Linked DNA regions of Saccharomyces cerevisiae S288C. The gene in region 2 interacts genetically with the main gene of each other region. Each region holds a gene or a part of one and is shown on either strand. Other genes may lie near its edges.

What was found. Genes that interact genetically often act in the same process or in processes that back each other up.
Region 1: mutations in RCR1 (region 2) and RHO4 together harm fitness more than expected from each alone (negative genetic interaction), as found in Saccharomyces cerevisiae (2 studies listed by BioGRID).

The regions. Positions count from the first base shown.
Region 1 is NC_001143.9:546,433-550,345, reverse strand, and holds RHO4 (Rho family GTPase RHO4), read right to left. Parts: upstream 2,131-3,913; coding exon 1,255-2,130; downstream 1-1,254. Other genes in the region: TRM2 (tRNA (uracil(54)-C(5))-methyltransferase), read right to left, coding at 1-898; DYN1 (dynein heavy chain), read left to right, coding at 2,421-3,913. UniProt on the Saccharomyces cerevisiae protein: Plays an important role in cell growth. Required to keep the uninucleated state. May be involved in the organization of the cytoskeleton which affects microtubule functions.
Region 2 is NC_001134.8:242,697-247,047, reverse strand, and holds RCR1 (Rcr1p), read right to left. Parts: upstream 1,143-4,351; coding exon 501-1,142; downstream 1-500. Other genes in the region: UGA2 (succinate-semialdehyde dehydrogenase (NAD(P)(+))), read right to left, coding at 1-38; GPI-anchor transamidase GPI18, read left to right, coding at 1,381-2,682; COQ1 (trans-hexaprenyltranstransferase), read right to left, coding at 2,818-4,239. UniProt on the Saccharomyces cerevisiae protein: Regulates chitin deposition in the cell wall.

The DNA.
Region 1 (3,913 bases), on a different chromosome or scaffold from region 2:
ATTGTAAAGGGGAAGCTACGGTGGTGTCAAATGGGGGTAAAAGTTTTTCAGCAACTAACCTTGGTGCGAAGAACTTGTAGGCATTCATAATTGTTTTTCTTTTCAATTCTAGTTGGTCATCGTAAGTTAAGAACTCTAATTGACTTCCTGAAGATTTCCCGAAATATTTATCCCTAATTAAATCATCTCTTCTCATTGGAGATTTTTCCACTACGTCTAATAAATCACTCTCGACATAGTAAGGGTGGGTCTTAAAGACTTTGATATTAACTACATCACCGGGCAGGCCAAACGGTATGATAACAACTTGCTTCTTTTCTGTTTCAACAGGATTATCGATCAAAGCCAACCCGTTGCCATTGGAAGTAATTTCTAAGACCTTGACATTTTTTACCTCTCGGTGATATTGTAAGACGATAGGTCCATCTGTTGAGGACTTATCATTTAGAATTGAAGTAACATCGTTCAGAACCTGCTCCCTGGACAAATTTTGAGATTTTAACAAATCGTTCACTTCAAATTCTAGGACACCCATCGGAGAAGTTGTTTCAACCTTTTTGGCCTTGTACTTTCTCAACTTTGGCTTCTTAGTCCGGCGGTTACCAGAATCTGTCAAAGGAGACGAAAGCCTTTTGTTGTCAACGGTATGTTTCATTGTTGGTGGTACCATTTCAGTACTTCCAGTCATGGTGCTGATTAGTTTATAATTATGCTTCTTGACAAAGTTTCTGCAAGCGAAAAACCTAGCTTTAAATATAGACTTCTGTACGGTCCAAAAGCAACGCATGCATGTGATAATACTCCAGCGTTTTATCGATGAGATGAGATGAGCTTTATATTTAACCTTATTGTCTGAATTTTCGAAGAAAAAAAAAGAAAATTCAAACTGTTCGTACATAATGACTTTGTCCTAAACTATTCCTCTAAAATAAAATGACAGATTTGTACTTTTATGTCACAGAAGCTTTTATTAAGTATTTAATGTAATTAGGCTAGATTAATATCGAATTAGTACTTTATGACATCGAATTAAAATGAATTATTATGATAAAATTGGGATAAATTCGAATATATTGGAGCGGTATATCACACCAGATTCAGAAAAATGGAAGTTAAATTAAATCAGGTTCTAATTGTTTCGTCTTGATAAATAAGATAGCGGAAGATAGTAAAATGTGTGTATTTTTTCTTGCCACTTTTCAAATGTTGTAAGTGCGTACAGAATGGGCAACAGAATAATCTTCATCATTATTCTTACATTATAATACACTTGTTTTTTCTTAATCTTTTCGTTCCGGAAATAGAGACGCTGGTATCTCCAGTAGAAGAATCGATATCTGATCTGGTGGTATTTCTTTTAAAGGGATTTTTGATTGTATGTGTAGGCTCTCTGGGAGCATATAATGAATCGGAAAGTAACGTGTGTATGGCAGTTTCAAATACTTCATCGATATTTTCTTTCAATCGTGCTGAGCATTGAATATGTGCAAATGCCCCCAGACGCTTGGCCAAGGATTCTGCTGAACTTGGTTCCACCAGATCTGAAAGGTTATCAGCTTCATATAGATCTGATTTAAGGCCGACTAGCATGATTGGAGTGGAAGGACAAAAATGCTTAACCTCTGGGAACCAGAGATCTTCCACATTTTTAAGCGATGTCTTACTACCAACAGAATAGCACACCATCAGCACATCTGCATTCGTATATGAAAGCGGTCTAAGTCTACTATACTCTTCTTGGCCGGCAGTGTCCCATAATGCCAATTCTATAATTTGACCGTTGGGTCCTTCTATGTTTGTGACATAATTTTCGAAAATAGTAGGAATATAATCAGTCGGAAATGTTCCTTGGACATAAGATATCAGCAGGCACGTCTTCCCTACAGCGCCATCTCCCACAACAACAATCTTTAGGTGATAATCTGGCAGTTTGTTTGTACGTTTCATCTGCTCATAACTAGGAATGGTAGAAAGGCTTCTAGCGAATGGAGTAGGCAATCTGGGAAGATTCTTTTCATCTAAAGTGCCAGGTGATTCAGGAAGATTGCTACTTGAGGGCGATCCCTGCGAAACTATGTTACTTTCGTTCCCACAATTGCCACCTTTTCGCTTAAATAATAGTGTATTCATGAAAAAGCGTTACTATTGGAGATTTTTGGACCTATTTGACTTAAGTTTGCTGTAACTTTTGAGGGATGCTTATCATGTCTTTTGTCGTCTTAACGTAAGGCTATAACTACTTAATCAGATCATCCCGAATTGATGCGCGGAAGGTCGCATTGTACGGATTCTAATAAATAAGCTAATGAAAGGTAAACAAACATTACATATAAAAATTAACAGAAAGCATAGAACATAGAAGGGCAATAATACTCGTTCAGAGCTTAAATTGGAAAGTACGTCAAAACGTTTTTTAGGCAATGTGCAAGAATGAGGCAAGACTTGCTAATGAGCTGATAGAATTTGTTGCAGCTACTGTAACGGGTATAAAGAATTCTCCCAAAGAGAATGAGCAAGCATTCATTGATTATCTACATTGTCAATACCTTGAACGGTTTCAATTTTTTTTGGGATTATTGGATGGGAGAGAGTTCGACACGTTGTTTGTCTTCCTTTTTGAAGAGCTGGATAGAACAATAGTTACAATAGACATTGGTGAAGAGGCTATATATGATGCCAACTTGGCGAATAAAAAGTATTCTACTCTATTAATTATTAAATCTAGAAGTGTTATTGTGGATGCAGAACCGATTGCAACACAAATAAGTGCCATATACTTACCTGGTCCAGTAAATGCGGGGAACCTGGCCTCAATTATCACACATGGCGTATCGTCTGTGTTTGGCCAATTGATAAAATCAGATACAAAGACATATTCTGTCGAAACTATAGATAAAACGAGGAGGAAACTTGACGACATTTCTAAACAATTTCAACAGTTACATACCTCAATTGAAACGCCAGATCTTTTAGCGATGGTCCCTAGCATTATCAAATTGGCTGTATCAAAAGGGGCTACTTCACATGATTATGCAAACTACCTTCCTAGTAATGATTTGGAAAGTATGAGATTTTTGAACATTTTACAAAGCATTGCAAACAAATGGTTTTTGGTTCTTAAACAAACATTAGCCATTGACAGAGATATAAAAAATGGTTCTTTTTTAGACGAAGTTGAGTTTTGGTCGAATTTCTACGAAGTACTGAAGTCGTTAATTGAACAAACACAAAGCCAAGAATTTCAGGTGTGTCTATCCGTTCTAACAAACGCAAAGAGATTTCATAATTTAACAAATTTATTGAATGAAGGTTCACTTTCAGATAAATTTAAGCTAGCGGATAAATATAACCAATTTCTATCGTCAATCCCTATCGATGAGGTTCGCCAGGCAAGCAATCTTGAGGACTTGCAGGAACTATTTCCTGTTTTAGCATCTTCTTTGAAGAAGTTCAGATATTCAGGTTATCCAGTTCAAAGATTTGTTGTGCTGATGGACAAAATTTCACAAGAAGTCATGGATGCAATTCTAAGTAATCTTTCAGATTTATTTCAGCTAGAGTATGGTTCTTTTTTGGGTTTATATGAAAAATCAGCAGGCATGATAGAAGAATGGGATGATATTGTCCAGGATGTCAATCTTTTAATAAGAGAGGATCTTAGGAAAAGAGCACCACAGGAGCTACTTATACAAAAGCTAACATTTACAAGTGCATCCGTAAAGGCTACTTTGGATGAAATTTTAAGCACACGCAAGCGATTTTTTTCATTGGCAGAAACCATTAAGAGTATATCCCCTTCTACTTATCACGAAGAAATACAGAGATTGTATCATCCATTTGAGCAGATCCATGATATTTCCGTGAATTTTCGATTGAAATTGGAGCAAGCCGAAAGTGAATTCAGTAAAAACAT
Region 2 (4,351 bases):
TCGTTTAGAGTTGGTTTAGAATACTTACTCAAAGTCATGTTGAAATAGTAGTTTGTAAAATTTGCTTTTAATGTAGCTGGTTTTCTAGCTTAATTGATCAAATAAGAACAGAACAATAAAGGACGTTGCGAAATAATATCTATTGATCTCTGACGAGTATTTATACCCTATTTCCTCTCCATTACTGATGGTGATGTGATGTGATGTGGTGCTATCTTGTCACCCTTAATCCATTGGCCGCCTTTGCTAATCCCGCGCGCATTTTCCCTTTATCACCACCACGCCGTGCGATGGACTTGAAGTATTTACTATTGATAAAATAATACTGAGAGATTAAAGACAATGTACTGAATATAAACTATAGCACTTCAACGACCGCGGGCCTGAAGCGGATTAGGAATTAAAATAATTATTATAGAGATTGGGTAAAAAAATGTAAATATTTCTGGCAAAATATTGTAACTCAACTGTAAGAGGACAGCCGGAAAAAAAGATTCAGTTCATGACCTTGCATTTACCTTTGCCCTCTCCGGTGGGTTAATTTCCTGCGTTGTAGTCCCGCCCGGAAGCCTTTCCAATTGCTCCACCGTATCACTTACAGCTGGAACGCGCCCATTGCTAGGCCTTGTTAAACCGTAATCCGTATCTAAAGAGTTAGCTTGGTGAACTACAGCAGCGGGAGGTCTTTCTAAAGAATTAACAGATTCTGATGAACATTCTTGTACCAATGGCGGGGGGGCCACGTATGCAGCCTTATCGTTGGGGTGAAACTCGCCCCGCTGGTCATAGTATCCAAGATCATGTTCGTTCGCTGTTTCTGTATACTCAGGAACATAATCATCTGTCCGTTGCTGAACGGTCCCAGTATATTGTTGCTGAGACTGTCTGTATGAAGGCGGTGTCAACCATGCCGTACCTCTAATGGGAGCACGCCCCATCCTTCGTCTCCTTCTGTTCGCTACAAAAGTGAACAGTATTATAAGGATTACTGCGGCAACAAACAGCACAAACAAAATCCATATTCCTGACTGCCATGACGACGATGATGGCCCATAGTAACTAGTCACAAATTTGCTAACGTGATGGTTATCTGCCTTTTTCACCTCGTTTATCGCCTCATTTTCGTATGAAATAAGTCCCATTCCTTATTCTTAATTCGAGTTATACTTTCCTATTTATTGGAATGATCAATAAGCTATTACAGGTGCCTTTTCTGCATGAGCTTCCTGTCGGTCATTTAAATACTTAAAATAGAAAATCCCTTTTAAATCAAACTTTTTTTTTCAAGGCTTAGTTGAAAAAAAAAGTAAGCCTCATCATCGAAAAAAGACATAAAAGAGAGGCTTCGAGAGAGGAGGCGGAATAAGACTAAATTAAAATATGATTGTGGGGTTGACACTTTATTTTGTATTATTCCGTTCAATACAGTATTTACTGGTTTTTTTGACTCCAATTAGGCAGTTTGATACATCAACATCACTTTTATTAAACGAATTATGTTCTTCTCCCTCTGAAATCAACAGTTATTGGAACAAGTATTTTTGGAATAAGCTACTATCATGGGACAGTGTTTTTTTTATCAAGAACATAACTTCCAAAAACGGAAAACCTCAATTTGAGCATGAATACGCGTTTTCTCAGTTGTGGACTTTTTTCGTTAGGCTGTTTATTAAAAGTAATAACGATAGCATCTACCATGCCTTAAGGGTTGGAGTTGCAATAGAAAATGTTTTATTTTACTTGTCAGGTATTGTTTTATATTTTCTAACAAAAAAAATTTTCAGCCAAAATATAAGGCAATCACAGTTTGCTAGAACTATCGCTAAAAAAACATCTCTGTTGTTTTTCTTAACGAGTGCCGCTGGATTTTTAACAAGCATATATTCTGAACCATTATCTTTTTTTTTTGCATTTGTTGGTATTTGGAGTCGTGAATGCTCCATTTCCGTGCCCGTATTGGGTCAATTCGATATTTCGTGGAGATATTGGTTTCCTTACTCCTTTATCAGCATGGCTTGCTTTACCTTAGCATCCTTGAATCGTTCAAACTGTGTTTTGTTAGGGATTTACTTTATTTTTGACCTTATTGAACTAACAAAGAACAGGAAGTTTGTAAAAGCAATATGTTTCCCACTATTATCAGGATCATTAATGTTTTCTGCTCTACTATATCAACAATATTACCTACCATATAAGACATTTTGTCCTCAAAGGGGTGAATGGTGTAAATCTCAATTGTTTTCAAGCATTTTTATCACGAAAACTTCTTTATATTCCTACATTCAGAGTCATTATTGGGGAGTTGGGTTATTGAAATACTGGACCCCAAACAACATCCCAAACTTTTTGTTTGCTGTCCCAAATATTATTATTTTAATCTATTCCTCCATATATTTCAGCAAAATTTATCCCTCCTATAACTTGAAGGCTCTCGTATGGATCACCAGAGCACTGGTCGTCATAGTATGCTTTTTTGCCCATGTCCAAATTCTGAATCGTATAGCCTCCTTTTTACCCTTGCACCTTTGGTATTTGGCTGATAGATTGGTTAAAACTTCTGATCCAAAAAAAATGGAAAATCCGAAAGGTGACGATAAGATAGTCAAGTTTTACATATACTGGTTGGCATTCTGGATACCTTTACAGACTATCCTATTTGCAGCTTTTTTACCACCAGCCTGATCCTTAATGCTTGTATATTTCTTCTTTTACTAAAAACATATAAAAACTATTTACATATAGAATATAGAATAATGCGACACTATGACCTTCTTCATTTTCTCTTTATTCTTCACCCTTTATTTGAAATTTCAAGGTTTACTTTCTTCTTGTTAGTATACTATTAGTTAAAAACTCTAGGGCAGAACGAGCATCAGATTCAGGAAGAGAATCCCGTAGATTTTGTAATGCCTTGTCCCTATATTCCTCCGCTAGTATTTTCGTCTTCGCTATACCATTATGGAGTCTCACAGAATCAATAGTTTTTTCAACATCACCCCTCTCTGAAAAATTGCGTGAAATTAGTGGACCTAAAGATGGGTCTTCTTTCCATGCAAACAAGACTGGAGCAGTAGCAATACCTAATTTTAGATCCGCGCCGGATGGCTTCCCTAAATCTTTTCCAGACACAGTAAAATCAAGCATATCATCTACGAGTTGGAAACATATACCTAGATTTCTACCGAAATCATAGCATTCGTCGATAACGGCAGGTGATGCCCCAGATAATATAGCAGCACATCTGCAAGATTTTGATATCAAAGCAGCAGTCTTCAGATAGGTCTTGTGTATGTAGTATTCAAATGCAGTTTCTATAATCTGATCATGAGATAATTGCAGCCCCTGTTGGCGGCTTGGAACACGAAAGTCGTGCTCTTTAACTTCAAGCTTTTTAGAAGGAACCGGAAGTAGCTTATGGCCATTTTCGATGGTATCGATATCCGCGTCAATGGAAGTATTTTTCAGTTGCATGAACTCACCTTCGACAAGATTCGCAATACTATTAGACATTAGTTCTACGACTTCGGGGTTGTGTAATCTTGAAATTGACACTGTTGCTCTCCCTAAGAGAAAATCACCCGCCAAAACGGCCATCTTGTTGGTAAAGGCAGCATTTCCGCTTGGCCTTCCTCTTCTTGTATCAGAATGATCAATAACGTCATCATGAAGTAAAGACGCAGTGTGTATCATCTCTACAATCTCTGCTAATCTTCTCTGTTTGGGTAAAATCCCTCTTTGTTTGTCAAAAGTTTCTTCTGGCAAAGGCTCAGGACCTTTTGTCAAGGGATTTAGTGGTTTAATACCGTGAAGAATATGTAGTGGGGATATGCTACTTGCAGGACGTTGAAATAGTTGATTTTGACTAGGTTTAGAGTAAATTGGGTCCTCAGGAACATCCGACTTGTCAATTTTCAAGTGATTTCTTTCTGTCATGGGAATTTCAGAAAGTGCTCTTGACAACAACAACACTAACAAGGGACGTACTTTTTTGCCTTCTGTTTCAAAATAGTAACTAGTAACCTTGTTTAGCACCGGATGGCCAGACCCGATGAGGGCAACTATATTTTTGGCCAATGTGTTCATCTCCTTCGAGACTAATGATATGGGATTATTCCAAAGAATCTTGGGAGTTACCAACTTACTGGCAGCGTTTAAAGCAACTGCAAAGGAGGATTTAAAGCGGCATCTTCGAGATGAAATCAATTTGATGTGATGAGCAGCGCCAGACCTTTGAAACATCGTCCCACTGTACTCAATTCGGACTGAATGGCACACTTCTTGTGTTGTAGAAAATCTCTATAGATTATAATGTGTCTTACTTTAATCTTCTAATCCCCTAACCCTGTTACCC